Linked DNA regions of Coturnix japonica. The protein of the gene in region 1 interacts with the protein of each later gene in a pairwise test. Links are inferred from orthologs where the notes say so. Each region holds a gene or a part of one and is shown on either strand. Other genes may lie near its edges. The genes, in order: EPAS1, ARNTL2 and ARNTL.

Region 1 (6,532 bases):
ATTACAAAACACCTCAGGGAACCTTCACCTTTTGAACACCTACATGAAACTTTAAACCTGAATTGTACTGTCATCAGTTTATTGCTTGAGAAACACAGGCCAGTTCAAATAAAATGTTTGGAGTTAACAATATTTGATTTTTCACGAGTCTCAGTTCCTTCTTCTTTGTTAATTCCAAGCTATTACAGAGAACCAAAACAGTGCAAACAAGAAGGGAAATAAGATGCTTTTTCTTTATTAACATTGTTACCTTTTTAAAAGTGATGTCATTTCTTCAGCCACTTAAAACAAATATTGTGCTAAGGCTCCTTTCACTTTATTTGTGTTGCTGATGCCTTCAGCTCCTAACTCTAGGCACAGAAAAGAGAGAGGTATGAAATTAAAGCACAAGAATTACTTTACTGTGGGTATTGCTCTTAAATCATCTACCTTGGTTTTATCCACCACCTAAATTAGGGAGACTATTGAATAATTTCCTATATCAATTTGGGAATGTAAATTGAGAGCAATTCTACTGGAACAGGAACTTTCAAGAAATATGCAGTCAGCAGACTTTACTTTTAGGGTAATTAGAATTTTGTATTAAATTCAAAAAACCTCATGCATTGATCCAAATACTCAAGACAATCTAAAGGCTTCAAATGCCAGGTGTCTTGAGTGGAGAGCTCAGCTTCACAGACTTATTTATATTGAAAATAGCTGATTTTTTTCTAGAAGTTGAGCATCACTGGCCATCCTGCTGATGGCAGGGGACTGGTTCTAAATGGATCTTTAAGATCCCTTCCTACCGAAGCCATTCTGTGATCACTGTTTACAAATGTTTTCATGCAGTTTTGCATAAAGAAAAGTTGGGAGCGGATGTATTTAAACAAGTGTTACGTATTATGCATTCTTACTTGTGCTGCTACCTCATTTTTATCTCTCTGCTCCTGTTTCTTAGTGTGTACAAAAGGTCAAGTAGTGACTGGCCAGTACCGTATGCTTGCCAAGCATGGTGGATACGTGTGGCTGGAAACTCAAGGGACCGTCATTTACAACACGCGCAACCTACAGCCTCAGTGTATCATCTGTGTCAACTATGTGCTGAGGTAAGTTGTGCAGAACAGAAAAAACACTTCTGAGTCCTTGTGCTGGAAAAAATGCAAGGATGAGAAATATTTTTGAAGGGTCTATTTATCCAGTGCTGCTATGCTGGAATCAGTTTAGTCATGTTTGTTCAATCTTGTTTACTGATGTTAGACATTGATGAAGAATGTGGCATGCCCGTTCCCATACAAGCTGTTGAATTACACCATAGCCTTTTTCTTCTACAGAGCAACTGCTCTGCTGGTGAAGCAGAACACAAGGGCTGCACTAAAGATTTTGTTGTGTAACACAACTACTGAATGCATTTTATTTTTCTAGTATTGTGACAGAAGGAAAAATTGGTAGTAAGTGTATTTGTGTTGCTAGGAAAAGCCATTTTCTTTCTCAAAAATCGGAACCACAGATCAATCTCTGTCCTGAAAAGCTCATGTATTTTTGGTCCTGGATGAGTCCTAAATAAAATACTTATTTGAGTGATAGTCTGGGTCATTGTAGCCCTGACTACATCCCTTTGAAAACCAGAGCAACAAAGCCCTAAGTACTCTCACAGAAGTCTTGACCACACTCTCCACGTCATCTGAGATTGTGGTGCTCAGCAACACTGGAACTGTGCCTTTCTTGTCAAGAGCCTGGCATTCAACTGAGAGAGACCAAAATACTGTTAGAGCAATCTTTCGAGAGTTATAATACCTGTCTTTACCACATCTTCCTTTATGGTGCTAAAAACCTAAACTCTTTCTTCTTCTTACTTAGTGAAATTGAGAAGAATGATGTTGTCTTCTCTATGGACCAAACGGAATCGCTCTTCAAGCCTCACCTGTTGACGATGAGCAGTGCCTTTGAGAATGGGATCTCAGGGAGGGATAAGAGTGACTTATTATTTACTAAGCTAAAAGAAGAACCGGAGGAACTTGCACAGCTGGCTCCAACACCTGGAGATGCCATTATTTCCCTGGATTTTGGTTAGTATTTGTGTAAATAATTTCTGTGCAACAAAGAACCACATATGAGCCTATGTTTAGAAACTTAATAGACCAGGTCTGTTTGCTGTGTGTATAAATGAGGAGTAACAGTCATAGGAGCTCATGTGCTCACATCAGCGGAAAATTTCTGTGAATGAAGGCAGAATCAGGCTTTTTTGCTGACTAAACAAGATAAAGTCTTTGCAAACTTACTTATTGTTATGGCAACTAGGATCAGAGTTTACTTTTAATAAATAGCTTTAATTATATCATAACAGGGCACAAGCTAAAAGCATCCATTAATGTTGTACTATTAACATTGTTAGAACTCCATCCAGGGATACAGAAGTTTGAGGAACCCCCTGACTATACCAGTGCTGTTTTGACACCAAACAAACCGTGGCCAGTAGAAGTGAAAAGCCATGCTGCTCAAGGTGAAACGCTGACAATGCCATCCTTTACAATGCCTCAGATTCCACCTGGCAACAGTACTCCAAGTGCAAGCAGCAACAGTAGCTGTTCCACGGTAAGAAAAGCTTTAAATAATGCGAAAGTGATGTTCTCTTTGTAAGTCCCATCAGAACATGAAGATGACATTCTCACTTTAGCACTCCTGTCTCAGTGTTTGTAACAAGCCCAGCACATCTATATCCCTACTGTATTGTGTATTTTTATCCTATGCTGTTTGTGTAGGAAAGCCCTGATAGAAAAAATGTCAGAAGGAAGCTATATCTTGCCTTTATATTGCATTCCTTGTTTTCCTCCATCTCACTAAGCAATTATGATAGTCTATAAACAAGCTAGTAGCTGAACTTGCTACCGTCTTACATGGAACTAACCTTAAGTGAAACTCCAATATTAAATGGTCTGGTCATTAGCAGAATTGCCCTCAGGCCAGTCCTCTTTCTGTTTGTTTACTAGAAACTATAGTCTTCAACAAAAAAGTTTACCCAGCTCAGGCTTTTGAGTGTAGCTTCACAGAGTTTACTGCTAAAAGAATGAGTGAGCTTTCCAGGGCACTGCCCTCATGAGCTAGAGCCACTATTATCAGAACTTTACTAGATTACTTACTAGGTTAGGACTCTACTGGATTTTGGAAACATTCAAGGTCAAGTTGGAGCAGGCTCTGAAAAACCCAATCTTGCTGTAGCTCTGTTCATTGCAGGGCTTTTAGCAGTCCCTTCTAACTTGAAACAATTTTATGTCCAATTTTATTAAAATCACTGACGTAGTGCAAAGCATTTTATTTCTTTAGATGTGTACTATTCAATTATTCTGTCATGTTATTAGTGTGATGTGCCAAAAAAAAACAAAAAACAAACAAACAAAAAAAAAACATTTAACGGGGCAACTAAGTTATTGTATTGGATGCCTGTGTTAAATCACTATGGCTCTCAATGTTTGTAGAGACAAGTAATCTGATGGTGGAGGAAATTATGTGACAGAAATGTAGTTAAGTGTGCTAAGCCAGCACTGTAGTTGTCTTGGCTGCTTATAGCCAATTGTTATTTCTGTGCAGCCAAACAGTCCAGAGGATTACTACACTTCTGTGGATGACGATCTTAAGATTGAGGTGATTGAAAAACTCTTTGCCATGGACACAGAATCAAAAAGTCAGTGCAACTCCCAGGTAAGTAAGAAGCTAATATCTCTCCCAAAACCATGAAAATTGGCCCTCCGTTAGCAGACAATAATAGAGATTCATGCAGATACAGTGTCATAACATGCACACCAAAACCATCAAACACAAGCATATGCTTTGAAAAGCTGAGGTGTCCACTTCTTTCCCTAATGATTTGAAGCAGTTACCTTGGAGGTGTCACTGTGGCAGTGCAGAAAAGAAAGAAGCAGAGCTTCAGAAACTGGGAGCTTCTGTAGACCGGATAAGGGATATAAGCAACTGCCTGTTTTTTTAATATCTTGCCGTGATGACTAATGAGTAAATGTTGTTTCTAGAACAAAACACAAATAAATTAACTCCTGTAAAACCTCAAAATGAAAAATGTTGTCAGTTAATGCCACAAGACAGGTAGACCCATGCAGCCACTTGCTCAATCCCTCCAGTAGGACAAGCAAGAGAATTAGAAGGGTAAAATTGTGCAAACTCTCCAGTTGAGATAAAGACAGCTTAGTCTGCAAAAGCAAAAGCTACACATGCAAGCAAAGCAAAATAAGGAATTCATTCACTACTTCTCATTGGCAGGCAGATGTTCAGCCATTTCCAGCACTGTTTAGTGCTCCATCACGTGTAGCAGTTTCTTGGGAACACAAACACTGTAACTGTGAATGCCTCGCAGATTCTCCTTCTTTCCCCCGCCTCTTATTGCTTAGTGTAATATCATGTGGTATGGGATGTCCTTTTGGTCATCTGGGGTCAGCTGACCTAACTGTGCTCCCTCCCAACTTCTTGTGCACCACCAGCATATTCCACTGGTGGGGCAAGGTGAGGAACAGAGAAAGGCTTGGCTCTTTGTAAGCAATAGCTAACACGTTGATCACAAGTCCAAAATATAATAGCGTATGATCTACTGTGAATAAGATTAACTCTATCTGAGCCAAAATGAGTACAACATATGTACAACTCATAGCAATAATGTTTTGTTATTTTTTATTTTAATATGGAGAAGCTGACCGCTTTCATTCACATAAATTTGGCATACAGTGATTTTTTTTTTTAGCTTCATAACTAACTCCCAACTAGTATTTCACATCACAGTGCCTCAACTATCATTAACTTTCAGGTTTCTCATGAACCTCTTTCATTTTTGTGCAGACTGATTTCAATGAACTGGACCTTGAAACCTTGGCTCCTTACATTCCTATGGATGGAGAAGATTTCCAGCTCAGCCCTATCTGCCAAGAAGAGCGTCCTCACTCTGAAAGTGCACAAAATACCCAGCAGAATCTAAGTAGCATGAGTACCATTTTCCAACCTGTTGCTTCTGCTTCACAGAATCAGTTCCTCCCAGAGAAATATTGCCCACAGCTATCAAATAAAAACATTAACCCTGGTCATGGGTCCCTATCATCTGTGTTCTTCAACAATATGAGTAGGTCATCGTTGCCACCATACCACAACCAAGCCAGCACTCCGCTGTCTTCGATGGGGGGTAGACCAAACACCCAGTGGCCACCTGATCCACCGTTAGAATATGTTCCTGCTAAATGGAGACTCATGGATAAATACTCAGGAACCCTATCAAGTTCCCCCTCAGGACCCCCAATACATTCTCCCAACATGCCCGTATATAAAAAAAGGTAAGAATTTATGTTTTCCATTGGAAAATATTTGAGCAGAAAGCAGTAGATATCTTGAATACATACAACTCGTGTTTGTGCTTAGCAAGGAGACAGGCATAGCTTTCAGAATCCTAAGATTAAAAATCTCATGACTCTTTTCCATATTATTTTTACGCTTGGCTGGAGATTTTAGAGGCTACTTATGCTAGTCTTTGATCCCCAAAGTAAAGTGTTCCCAAAGCATGTGGGATGACTAACAAAAGGAAACAAAGACATTCAACATACAGTGTCACGTGTCTAAAGGCCTCTTAAATGAAATAGACGAAAGAAGAATCTGTATAAATGAAAAAGATGGTTTAGATTTGCCTTCTTGCTCACCCAGAGATCTTTTTTCAACAGGCTGCTGGATGGTTTGGGGCAACGAGGCATAGATATAAACCCAGCAAGAATTGCTTTGTCTAATAGTTTGAAGCTGAAGCGACAGTTGGATTATGAAGAGCAGGCAATGCAACAGCTGACTGGGGTAATCATAAGAAAATGCATCCATTTCAGAATTGTGGATGTACCAAGATCATCAGTGTAATCAATTCATTTTGCTTTTCTCCAAACTGTAGGGAGACCCATCTGCCATTAACCCATCTCAGTTAATGTGGAAGAGAATGAAATTTCTCAAAGGGGAAAACTGTTCCTTGCTTACGGAGAAGAAGTCTCTCAGCACAAGTGTTCTTACTGGTAAGAGAAAAGAAATTGGTTCTGCAGTGTTAAGCTACTTTGAACTCCATCTCCCATATAGCTTACAGTTGAACAATTTATAGTATGTTTGATAGCTGCCAAGTAGATTGTTTCATATATGTCCATACCCTTACTTGGGAGGTAAATAGGGATCAGTTTAATAGAGGTAGGTTTACCTAGCGCTGATCCAATGTGTGGGCATTTAAAGCTAGAACAGATGCTTTCTTTCTACAGCACTGTTTTTCATTATTCAAAAATATCTTTAGTACAACACAACTTGCAGGTAGTACTGAATTTAGATATGCCTACATAGATTCATCGTCACACTGAGGAACAATTTGCTTCAAATTAGTATTAGCTTCTATAACAATTACAATGGCTTGATTTTTTTGTTTTCTCCTGTATGAATCAGATGAGTTTGTCTGCAACTCGAGAGGTCTGAGCCAACCAATGAATCAACTGCAGCTGCAGCAGCAACAGCAGCAACCCACCTGTGGCAGTCCTGGTGAAAA
Region 2 (6,532 bases), on another chromosome or scaffold:
CCTATGTTACCCTTTATTCTGTAGCTAAACTCAGTGCACCAGTATTTCTGCAGAAAACCAGAAAAAGCACAAAGAGACTGTGTGATAGAAACATCATGTTCTATCAACTAAAAACCAAGTCGCATCAGAAGTTACCAGAGGAAAAAGATATGCTGCAAACCTTTCTGATCACAGTTACATGCATTACATGAGTTAGAATGTTGTAACTAAATGGAATTACTTCTAAAATGACCTCATTAGAATTACCTTTAAAATTATCTTCCCTTGCACAATAACTTAGTATTAAAAAAAAATCCTGAATTGAATAAACCAAAAGTTTCAAGGATTGATCAGGAGATACTCATGTGATAATTGTAAGAAGCAACACTTGCCTTCTGCAGGCTGGGAACCATAGGAGACCTGTTCTTCAGCAGACTCATTGTGACCTCTAAGGTTTATATAAAAAAGCAAACAAATAAACAAACCAATCAGAAACATTTTCAGTGGTAAAATCCAGTGTATTTCCATTTTATTTCAATCAGTACTTTACAAAGCTAAACTAACATGCTCAATCTAGTAATAAAACTAGGCATTCCTTACATCTTTCAACATTCAATCCTTTCTACTTTTATTTCTGAAGCATGGAGTAAAATACTCATTTACACTTATTCCCAAAATCAATAACTAAGGCCAATATAGTCATCTGTGTTTCCTAACAAGAACAAGACTATCATATCTACTTATAGGAGGGAGAGCCATTAATCAGAAACAACTGCTAATAGAAAAGATCAGCAGCTACTTTCTACTAGCAGCTGCTGCCTACCTCCCCTCCTCTAGCTGCAGATGCCTGGACTGACGTATCCGCCAATTAACCAGACCTATCCCGGGACCTCAACTGTCTGGGGGAGAGACACAAACATGGACGCCATGATGTCTTCTCTCAATTTATTGCTGCGTCACACACCTTATATACTATCCTAAATCCCACGCAGATGCGTACACTCGCTACGCAAAACCCGATGCACGCGAGACAACCTGTACACACACCTACCTAAACCGCTCGCCCACTAACTCTTAACCTACAGGCCTAACTCAGCTATTCTAGAACACTCCATCTACTCAGAACTACTGTATGCACTCATAAATCCTTACAAAGAAAGCTTAGTACCCCAACACCTGGACCTCCAGGGCAGGCAAAAGTGGCCTTTGGCTGTTGGCAGCACAGACTGCTTTAACTGCTCTTCTTTGTCTTGTTGGGGAAAAAGGACAAGGGCAAAATAGACAGGTGATGTTGGCTTAAGATATGAACCAACTACAGAACGGGTAAAGGCCACTTTGTCTAGTGGAAATAAAATCACGTTCCTCCCCCTCCAAAAACCACTGTTGTTGAGAAAAATGTTCAGTATCTTTGGAACAATCCAAATTATCGTTCAATTACAAGGCACAAGGAATAAAATGTAACAAAATAAGAATGAAACACACACTCCAACAGTTCAGTTGCTGTCTTGTGGGCAGCTGCCTTGCAATCAATTTAGAGAGTATCTTTTTGTTCTGCCTTATATTTCCTATGATCTATCAGTTATACTTCTCCTTATTCTAATACATGCAGACTTAGAAGCTCTGAAGGAAGAAACCAACCAAACAAAAAAAAACCCATCACTTTCCATTTACTTGTGCCTTTTTTCCTAAAAGATCTTTCTTCCTGTAATAAGAAATTCTTTCATCTAATTTTCAACTAGTAAATTGCATTGTTCATAGTTAAATCCATTACCTGAGCCTGAAATCAAAATCAACTGGTGCAAATCAAATGCAATATGTTCTTCCATATTACTCAACCTCTTTATGCACTGTTGGTATTTTCTAATCATGTTCTGCTTCTTAAAGAGGTTCTTTTCTGTAATTAAGACAAAAACTAACACGGGTAATCATATAATGAATTACTTACAATACTACAGTGTTGTTTGATACAATGTACTCCAGTTCCTTGGTCCACGGATTCATGAAACTAAACCATTGACTCTTTAAAGTAATAAAACTTCCATCTTTTGCTCTAAATTTGTAGGAATTTGTGAATACTTTTTCTTTATTCTGCAACACTAGATAAGAAAGAGGAATTACAATCACTATATTCATACTTCCAAGGACAGAGTTGAGCTAAAAATATCTGTTTTGTGGTACCATAAAAACAAAATGTTTCTGATGATCAGATATTCTAATTAAGTGCCAGAAAAATATTCAAGGTAAGACTTCTATGAAATTTAACTACTGTTTTAACAATGCTACTAATCTCAAATGAGAGCCCATGCACTAAGTTTCTGCAGACAACTAACAGGAAGACCCCTGATTTGGTGAAGTTTCATCAACAGTGTCTTTTTAGGCACATTTGCTCTTCAGGACTCCTTTATTCTTATAAAGAAGAACTGAGGCATGGGGTCAAAAGAAGCATTATTGCCCAGCACTGCACCAAGACCCAAGACAACCGAAGATTGCCTTGACAAGATTCGTCACAACAGACAAGAAACCCCCTGGTTTTCTTACACACTTTCTGAGGGCATGTCTTAATGCATACATGGAAAGGGACAATGCTAACACTGTTTAACTTCGTTATTTCCCAGCTTCTAATTTTATATAGCCTGGGAGAACCAATCGTTTTGTACCTTCTTTATGTTTCTCAGCTAGATGATTGTGATCGTCTTGATGACAGTACTCGTAACAAGAAGTTCCTAGAAGCTCTTGTGGCAGATACCCTAAAATTGCTGTTGCACTGTTAGAAATAAAAAGATGAACAGCGGTGGATTCAGACAATTGCAAAGCTAGTTTTCTTCAGTATCAGGTGAAGCAAAAAATGAATATTTAATAAAATAGATGCTTACTTTCACATTTAAGAAAAGATACAGCGTTAGGATAGCTCTAAAATAATAGCAAATATAGACTGCAGTTTACCTTGGATCTGTTTGCAATGTATAATACAGGATAACAAAACTGTGTAAGAGTATCAATTCAAACACAGAATAACAGTGTTTGAAAATGCAAACCATTTGTATGCACAATTTAAATGAACACAAAGTACATATGATTATTAGCTCTTCCAATTAGGCAATCAAAGTACCAAACCCACTTAATGAGTCATTTGAAAAAAATAATAGTTAAATTTTGCTCTAAGGAATAAGTTTGAACCGACACTTTTAGATATGAGATGAGATAAAATGTATTTGCTCCAAATACTAAGATATAAATAAGCAGTCATTTTTTTGTGAAGGGCTTATTATTTTTTTTTTCTCTGTCAGCATAACTTATAAACAAATAAGTCACATGTATAGCTATGCTACTCTAACTCAAAATTTTTTATTGTGTTAATATATAGTATACAAGAGTATCCTATGATGCATTTTCATCTTGCGAACCTACACTTTCCTAAAGGACAATACACTTATTTTGCTACATAAATTATATTTTATTTTTAACAGAATGAAGTCCAAGGACTCAGATTCATGACACAGCTCTTCAGCATCCCGAAATCCTAACATGCTTAAAAAAATTGCAGTCCCTTCAGTCAGAAAAGTTCACAAGACCTAACCAAGTCATGTCGTTTTCTCTTCGTTAAAGAAGAAAACTTACCGCTGATCTACATAAACAAATTTTCCATCCATGGCAAATCGTGTTACAAATTCTGTTGCTTTGACTTTTATCTCTCCACTCTTTTGTGGAACAATGTAAGGGTGTAACCTCCCAATTGCAACAAGACAGTTAAAATTACTACTGTTCTTTTCTACATCATTTTCCTCTTCTACTCCCACCTCGCTAGGAGGCCAGTTCTTCATATATCCAGTACAGTGAATGGTACAATACTTTCTGTGATCTAATAAAAAGAAATAAAATAAGCAATTATGGTTCAAAATGTAATTAAAAAAATCTTTCACCATAAGACCAACAATCCTATTTTATGCATACTTACTACAACTGTAAAAGGCTATGGATAATGTCACAGCGTGCTTTTGAAGTAAATTTTTACTACTTAATTTTGGCTTACCTGAAGAGAGTGCTCCTAACCCTATGTAAGACTTGGGAAGATAAATTATAGGCATTGACAGTGTAGTATCAAAGGGAAAAAAAACCAAAACCAACAATAGAACAACAGCTTAGTAACCCACTGTTTCTCCTTTACATGTTTCCTTATGTGTTGTAAATCACAATAAACTAAATAAATTGATTTGGAAGCTACAGAATGTTTATCTTAAGTGAACACTATGATTCTACATATTTTTGCTGCAATTACTAAAAGAATCCATGAAGAGAGCACCCCAAAATAACCCAAATTACTTTCCACTTATCTCAGACTTCTGAATTCCTCAATTTTTACAGGAACATAAATATTAAAGAACATTTAATTTAAGCATACGCGATAATCCCTTTCTATGACTGGTAGAAACTTACTTATACAATATCCCACTAACCTCAACATACAGAGATTATGTATCCTACAGTTACTGTCTTCCCCCCAAACTGGCAAAGCAATCTTATTTTACCAAAGTATGATTGACATAGATTTGACTGCATTAACTCTCAACTATGGAAAATATCAATCAACCCTGTCAAATGAAAAATTGAGTTACCCTTCTGAAACTGCTAGTTTCCCAAACTTTTAATGCGATCTCTCTGAATGCTGCTTGCCTGAAAGCACGTTTGTAAGAGATAAATTCTACTCTCACCAAGTTAGCTGACACATCAAGGGAGATGGACAGAATTCTTCTGACTTACAATGACAGACCCATTTTAGAATGTGTTCTTTTATGATGTATCTCAACAGCAGCAGGTTAAATTAAAATAAAAAAGAAGGAAGATTCTTTCAAGATCAGAAAGAAAACTTGCCAAGAATATACTGCTCTACAGGTATACCAAACTAAATTAAAACTACGGACTAAATTAAAGACATTGGAGAAACACTGATATTACACTGATAAATTAACTTTACTATTAAAAAAATGCAAAAATGGAAAGGTATAATTCGTAAGTACACACAATACAAAACGTAAATCAGATAAAGATTTTACTTGCTTTTTTTCCTCCAAAACAGCAGACTTTGCAGGCCTTATTCATATAGTTATCTTCAAGACATATGTTATTTATCTTAACTCTTCTGATCTGCTCCAGTGCTTTCAAAAATTTGACTAGAACAGACCGTGTCTCCTAAACCAACAATGCAACCCAGGTTCCTTCCTCCCTTCCTCTTCTCAGGAGTGAATAGGGAGGAGAAAAGGACAATTAGACTGTTTTTCAGAACACGCCTGCAGTACATATTTACACTTCTCTACAGCTATTACGTGAAATCAGCGATAATTACAAGGATCACACTACTGGCTTGGAACTTAAATATACTGAATTTCAAGACAGAAAGCCCCCATTTCAGCTACACTGTTTGAATACCTTTCTTCTTTGGATTGGGTAAGCACTCCTTCTCTTCTTTGACTGTGGTCCTACTACATTTTATCCGACAGAAGAAGGATCGTCGAGCACCAGAATTCAGTCGAGCTGGTCCAGCTTGAAAATCTGTATGTACTTGCAAGCCAGCTTATAAAAATTTAGTAAAGTAGTTAATGAAAACAAAAAAAATCCAAGAATAAAACTGCTGAGCCCAAGGCCTTATCTTCAGTTTCTCATATATTCTCCTTACTGTTTAGTTACCTAAATGTTGTCCTTATAATTACAAAAGAAAAAACATCTAATAACTTTAAACAAGGCAAAGAAAATGTGGCTGCTGCACAGACTCCAAATTTAAAAAGAACTACAAAACTGAATTTAAGCTGTATTTAACATTTTGAATCATACTTTAATAAATACACTTTATCAACTTTCAACTTCTATTTGGTACATAGAGGAAGTGCAAAGATGCCTATAAAAGCCAGCTATAAGACAGTTATTAGCTGCAGAGTACAAAATGCTTTTCATATCAGAAATAACTGTAAATAGATTTGGTTAAATTAGGATTGACAGCATTTTCAGAGAAGTCAGTGATTCTTGATACTGAAGTATTTTATCCCATGTTCAACTACATCAGGTCTTTTGTAATGACAAGACCTATAAAATACTAGAAAAAAAAGTAGTATGCCTGGAAGGAAGAATGTCAGACTACAACTTGGTAAATGTTCAACAATGCTAAATTCAATCACACTTATTGCCTACAATAAGTTTTTTTTCTGTTGAACTGCAATGAATTATAAGCAGCGGATAAGCACTGAAACATGTTTTTTCATGTAAATTGTATTTCAAGCTTGTACATCCATGCACACAATTATTTCCTACATAAGAACTGACTTTATTAACATATCTTAAAAAAATAAAGAAATTTGAGTGCATTCAAATATGACTTACTTTTGCCATCTACAAGCTTTTCTCTGGGAGAGACATCTGAAGATGAAAGTTGTTCCTTAACTTTGGCAACATCTTTTGGATGCAAGTAATCAAACAAACTTTGTCCAATTAAACTGGTCTATTTAAAAAAAGAAAAAAAGAACCCCACTGTTTTAGGACAGGACACTTCATATTACAGACCTCA
Region 3 (6,532 bases), on another chromosome or scaffold:
CATGATGCAAACACAGGGCAGAAGGAGTAGCTTCAGGGTAGGGATGGCTTGCTTACATCAGTTCTTTCACACAGGAGAAAACTGCACTGCTACAGCAGTAGACTGAGAAGATGAATCTTTCAAATGCGACCGCTGCAAACAACACGAAACCCTCAAAGCTCCAAAACTGAAAACCTGTTTTGCTGCAAGGTTACACATCCCCCCCCACACTTAAAAACATGGCTGATTTTAGGCTACTCAGGTGAATTTGCCAACCACAAGTTCTTTCATTCCCTTAAATAAAAGCCCTTGAAATTCCCCAAGTAAAACCACACCAGACAAGACCAGAGTTACTCCCTTTTGTCAAAATGGCAAGAAATGGAGAGTAAAAACACGGACTGTTTTGGGTAAACCCTACTTTATCACCCTCCAACCCCAGTTCTCTCTGCTCCCACTGATCTACTTACCACGTAATGTTTTCATATGCTGGACTGCCATCCTCAGTACAGTGAGTTTATCCAGCTTTCGAGACATAGCGTTGCACGTTGGTACCAAGGATGCCAGTTCATCTATAAAACTGTTCATTTTATCTCTACGCCTTTTTTCAATTTGACTATGAGCCTCCCTGAACAAGCAAGGTGGGAAGGAAAAACAGAAGAGTGTGAGAAAATGAACTGTGTTAACAAAGAAAAATGCCCAAATCCTATATAATAAAAATAATTAGCGTCCTCATAATTCATTCACCCACTCAGCCCCATAAAATGTACATACAGAATTTTTCAGAGAATAATATGCTCATTACTTGAGTGATAGCAGTTACAAGCTACAGGAAGGGCCGCAGTACTTGGCCCTTATTAACCAGAGAACACACACTGTGTTGCTCATACAGTACATTGAATAATGCATTCCACTCCATATTTGTATTAGTATGCTACATCAACACAGCAGTATTTAAAACTAACTTTTGCTGTAGCTGTATGTCTTCTAGTCATCCTACGGCTTTCCTGTTGAAATATCTGAGATAATTTTGAACTAAACTCTCCCTAACTGGGAAAACTGATGCTAACTGCTGAATTATTTTGTTTTTGTTCTGTATTTTCACATCTTAAGAATCGCTATTAACACTCTGTAACTACTGAGTTCGAAAGAATGTAATATTTAAGAAACTTGTGCAGGCTCCAATTTCCATGCTAACGCTGACAGAAGTGACTAAAACAAAGTTATGTTCAGCACTTCCACAAAACTACGTGTAGTTCATATGTGAGAAGAGTTAGCAGTGCAAAGATAACGAAAACGAGTTATTCTCAGAGTAAATCACAGGCAGGTATTTCGTATATGCCAAAAGGCAAACTCTTTTCATGCTTGCTGAGAGCAGTACCTTGCATTTTTTATTCTCCCTTGTTGGTCTGCGTAGTCCAGTCTGTTAAGAAACGATATCACAAAGTTACAGTACTGAAAACAATTTCTAATATATGTTATGAACCTAACGATCTTCATTAAAATAGGTTTTAAGATTTGAATCTTTATTTAGCCTTCCCTCAGAAAATGACATTATTAATAATATTGCGGTAGGACTCAAAGGATATTTGCTTGGACCGTTCGACTTCATGCAATGGTCTTATACCTTTGTCCCAAAACAACTTGAGACACCGGACCAAGGCATTGCAAACAGATCCTACATCAGTACTGTGAAACAGTTTAGGGACCGTGTCTACAGTACCTGCCATGTTGGTCATCTTTATCTGTATCCATACCTTCCCTGCAAAAACAGAATGAAGCGACATATCACAAATTAAGCAGCATTAGCGAGGCTGTTAGCAAACCAGCATAAAACCAGAATTAAGTGTTGCAGTCAGCCTTAAATCCTGGGGAAAAAAAAAAAGAATTTAAAAGCAACAACCTGGAAACACAAGAGCATTTTCTGTAGTATTACAACATTTTCTTGCATTTCTTCTGAAACACACAAAATGGCACAGTTTGATGTGTTTGACAGTAAAACACACTGCAGTTCAAAGACATCATCTGCTATAAAAATGTTTTTCAGTTAACAAGAGGGGTAAAAGCAAAAAGGACTTATCAAAGCAGATCTTTTTCATGCCCTCACCAGAATGAGGGCCACTAACTTGCATTTACTGCAATTAGACATTTAAACACAGGCAATTATCACAAGGCCCACTGCAGAATGCACAGTTCACCCTGAATTCACTCACGTCAGCGTGTCCTAAACCTCACTGTGCCTTGATTTTGGGACAGGAGATGGCAATAATCTATACCAACATAATGCATTGCAGCACTGGAAACAGCCAAATGCACAGGGGGTTTGGGAGTGTGTATAAAGCTAAGCAGGCACATTTTAAAGTGGTGTGCCTGAAAAAAATGCCAAAGATTACAGTGCTGTTAGACAAAAGAATGAGGAAGAGGATGTTTTCATATAGATAAACCTGTACCACTTCACTTACATGGGCACTCCTGAGCCTGCCTTATGCTGGTTTGGTTTTTTTTATCACCACATTTAGGCACAGGGGAGGGGAAACATGGAAAAACATCAAGCATCTTGTTTCAAGTGAAACCGATCACAAAAATATTTATACTTACTCAAAAGGAAAGCCATCGAGTCTGAAAAGAAAGAGAAATAAAGTACACCATCTATATGAAATAATAACGTCTTTCATTTTCTGTTGAAATTCTCAAGCTAATTTACATTCTATTCAAAATGAAAAAGAACAAAGACGTGAGCAGTGAGTATATTTTAAGGAGCCAAGTTTGTTCAAATTCATCTATTTTCTGAAGGCATCATTTTGCCTACAGCTAATCAAGTCCATTACGCTGAATGTGAAAAATCAGTACCACAACTATCCCAAATTATCTCTGCGATGCACATCACTGAGATATTGTTTCGTCAGCAGAAACAAAAGGATCTGCGCTGTGTGCCTGCTGTCCTTGTCCTTGCCTGGAGTTTCAGAGGACTCCAAGGCCAGGAATAAAAGATACCAACATGTATCTTAACCATCTCCATTTTTGATTCTGCCCAGCAGAACAGATGAACGTTTTGTTTCAGTCAGTACTCAAGTCCTGATTCTGAACTTCATACAGATTTTACTGTATCAAAAGGAAACTAAAACGAATTTCTACATGCAATTAACTGCTGGCATCACTTCAAGTCTGTAAAACGATCACAAATACCACTGAGCTTTAATATAGCGAGAAGCTAGGTTTCATTAAAGCCTTATGAAGGATCTTCTCACGTTAGCCACTGATGTATTACTTATTCCCACTCAAAACTGGACATTAGCATCCTTAAGCATTTTTCTATACATTATTCATCGCACCTCTTAATCTCTTCGTCATTAGGTTTTAAAGAAGTGTGAATAATGCTAAAGGCATTCTTCATCTCTCCGCTTGTATATTTGAGTTACTGACTTAGATTATAGTTCAAAGTGCTTCTGATGCTCACAAAGAAACAGAGGACTTTAGTAACAGAAATGAGGCATCAATTCTCCACTCCTAGTGCCACCTTTAGCTACAAGATGCTTGTTGTGGCACAGCAAAATATGAAAGAGGTTTCTACACCAGCAACAGGGTAATTTACAAATGCTTCAGGATACTTTCATTTCTTATCGGTACTATTTCAACTTAAAATACTACTACCAACAAAAGAAGGTAGCATGTGCTTATAGATCTGTGCATGAAGTCCTGCATTCCAGCACATGACTTAAACACACTGAAGTAGAGAACAGATCGCCTTAGCTGGAATTACAGCAGTATGCTGAAGAGGAATTTCACTGGGAGAGTAGCAGCAGAAAGATTTGAAAGGAAGCTGGCATGGAAAGCTGAAATTGTTGTTGACCAATAAGCTTGTTTGTACTTGACAGATGAACACACACTAAAACAGTCAGGCTGTTCCTCACGTCCTGAATTCACTGATAAATGAAGCATAGCACTGGATAGACACCATTTATGTTAAAACAAATATCTGCATAGGCAGCAAAAGTTGAACAGGAGCGATTCTTGAATGTTTATACATACATACACATAGAAAGAGGGATCAAGGAATTCTACCTTAAGTTCTACTTAGGAATAGGAATGTTCACTAATAACCATTTTCTTTGCAACAAAGTCTCTGGTACAATGACAGCTGTTATAAGCTGACTCGAGGAAACAGCATTTCACATATTTAATAAAATGCCCACACAACCTAGAGGGCAGAATTGGAACTTAAAAGAGCAAGCTGTCTTTGGGGAAAAAGGACTTGAGCAATGCTTCCTGCTCGCAAGTATAAAGATGGAGAAATCCTTTCTAGAGAAGAGGAAGTTGGTAAGATTGAGGCTTTTCACTGAATTTTGTAGGAGTCAATTCAACTAGAGGGAATCATGGACTTTTCAAGAAGGCTACACCTATTATATTTATAAACTTATTTTTATTACATTACAGAAGCTATGTATGCAGCACACTCGTGGTCTGTACACGGTAATTAGTTTTGCACCTAACTTCTCCTAAAAATAATCTCAATGCACAGGGAACCTAATTCTTAATTGGCATCCTCAGCACAGATCAATGGAGAAGGAACTGCCAACAGTGAGAAAGTCCACAATGATAAAATCTGTGCCAAGTTACATAGAAACGGATTACGTAGCTGTGTTAATAATGGATGGGGCCTATCCACAGGCTTCCCTGCAGCTAGGCTTTGTAGTTACAACTGATATGAAGTTTGCGTAGTCACTGACAGTAAGCATGTTGGTCTTGGTGTAGAGCTGAAGACACTGCACAGCTGGAAACGTGGCACACATTACTGCAGCTTTCACCATTCTAAAGCACAGTTGGTGTGATTTCTTTCTGCTCCAAATGCCTGCCCTAAGACAGAAGGTATGGCTTGGATGGTGCTTCCAAGCTTTGTTACTAGCAAGCACCCCTTTAAGAGAAGCAGCTTTCTTGAAATGAAAACTTGCTACCACTGATCCACGAGAAACCAACTTTTTATTCTACCAGGAATAATGGTTTGCAGCCAGAGAGCAACACAAGACTAAATCACTTGATGCAACAAAAGGCAGTCCTACTGCAGCACACCAGAGACTCCTCAGACTCATATTCAACTGGGAGACCAAAATAGCTCCATCAGACAAAGTTTGGCAGCACACTGATAGGAAATGACTGAAAAGGCAAAAAATAGGTGAAAAGAAGGAACTATTCCTAGTTTTGCTTCTCCTTTCTAATTAATTATTAGCTTCCCTCCTGCTGGTCAGACATTCAGCTTCCTATGTGTACGGTCAACATAATCAACTTCACATCATCTATTACATCAATATTCAGTTCTTTTTTTTCCCCCTCATTAGCCAAAGGTTTCTTTCCTGAGCCTTACCTCGTTCGATAGCCCTCAATTCCAGCTGCACTGAGATGGAGGCCTTATTACTAACTAATGAACTCTCCTTTTAGTGCACAGTAGCATTTTTCTTTCATACAATCTTTAAACAACTGGTTGTCAAGAAAAGGTTATTAAGGTTATTTCATCTCTCTAACTATATCATTCTGTTGCCAACTGCCTTTCAACATTATCAAATCGACTGAAATCCAACTCACTGATAATCAGTAGAACTTCCCTTCCTTTTCCGATTACAATCCACTCCTGAAGTGCTAAGGGAACTGGAAATCAAGTCAGCAGGGTCTGGTGACATAAAGTCACTAATTGTAGAAGAAATGTCCATCCTTTGGTCTGCCATTGGATTGTCTAATGTTACAAAAAAAGAAAAAAAAAGGAATAAAAAGTCACTCTATTAATAAACATCAATTTATATATTTTAAATGCACATATGCATACACACACAGAGCAGCTTTAATTATTAAATGTATTAAATACACTTAAAATTGCAAAAATTACAATTCTGTTATCTGCTTTTGCTATAAACAGACACGGGCTATTGCTCTTTCTTTCAGCAGTACTACACATCCCACATGAGCTACAGAATCACAGAATCATAATGGGTTGGAAGGGATCCCCAGAGATCATTTAGTCCAATTTCCCCCTACTAAAGCAGGTTCCCCAGAGGAGGTTACTTAGAAAAGCATTCAGGCAGGTTTTTAATATCTCCAGAGAAGCAGAAGACTCCACAAGCTCTCTGGGCAGCATGTGCCAGTGCTCTGTCACCTCCAAAGTATAGAAGTTCCCTCTCAGGCTCATGGAACCTCCTGTGCTCCAGGCTGAACAGTCCCAGATGTCTCAGCCTTTCCTCAAAAGGGACATGGATTTCTCCAGGCCCCTAAGCATCCCTGCAGCCCTCCACTGGACTCCCTCCAGAAGTTCCATGTCTTTCTTCAACTGGAAAGCAAAGAAATGGACACAGCACTCTGGATGTGGCCTCACCATGGCAGAGTAGAGGGGGAAGAGAATCACTCTGGGCCTGGAATCAAATGGTTCCTTTTCCTTCCTTCTCCAGGGAAAAGAAACAAGCATCCACGTGAAGACCAACATCAAAGACTTCTCCTTTGTATTTACAGGTGCGAGCACTAAGTACATTTGATGTATCCGTATTTGTTCATCAAGATGTGGCATGCAGAACGG

What was found.
Region 2: the proteins of EPAS1 (region 1) and ARNTL2 interact in binary tests that used the Homo sapiens proteins (3 or more experiments, as listed by UniProt). The link is inferred for Coturnix japonica from reciprocal best matches to the Homo sapiens genes EPAS1 and BMAL2.
Region 3: the proteins of EPAS1 (region 1) and ARNTL interact in binary tests that used the Homo sapiens proteins (3 or more experiments, as listed by UniProt). The link is inferred for Coturnix japonica from reciprocal best matches to the Homo sapiens genes EPAS1 and BMAL1.

Annotation. Positions count from the first base shown.
Region 1 is NC_029518.1:23,769,979-23,776,510, forward strand, and holds part of EPAS1 (endothelial PAS domain-containing protein 1), read left to right. Parts: intron 1-250; exon of another isoform or gene 251-350; intron 351-940; coding exon 941-1,088; intron 1,089-1,839; coding exon 1,840-2,048; intron 2,049-2,374; coding exon 2,375-2,574; intron 2,575-3,567; coding exon 3,568-3,678; intron 3,679-3,857; exon of another isoform or gene 3,858-4,000; intron 4,001-4,821; coding exon 4,822-5,306; intron 5,307-5,687; coding exon 5,688-5,811; intron 5,812-5,902; coding exon 5,903-6,020; intron 6,021-6,432; coding exon 6,433-6,532.
Region 2 is NC_029516.1:62,644,557-62,651,088, reverse strand, and holds part of ARNTL2 (aryl hydrocarbon receptor nuclear translocator-like protein 2), read right to left. Parts: intron 6,467-6,532; coding exon 6,349-6,466; intron 5,548-6,348; coding exon 5,404-5,547; intron 3,839-5,403; coding exon 3,598-3,838; intron 2,744-3,597; coding exon 2,637-2,743; intron 2,076-2,636; coding exon 1,925-2,075; intron 428-1,924; coding exon 372-427; intron 1-371. UniProt on the Homo sapiens protein: Transcriptional activator which forms a core component of the circadian clock.
Region 3 is NC_029520.1:11,894,074-11,900,605, forward strand, and holds part of ARNTL (aryl hydrocarbon receptor nuclear translocator-like protein 1), read right to left. Parts: intron 5,702-6,532; 5' UTR 5,694-5,701; coding exon 5,554-5,693; intron 2,596-5,553; coding exon 2,575-2,595; intron 1,739-2,574; coding exon 1,700-1,738; intron 1,400-1,699; coding exon 1,358-1,399; intron 605-1,357; coding exon 447-604; intron 1-446. UniProt on the Homo sapiens protein: Transcriptional activator which forms a core component of the circadian clock.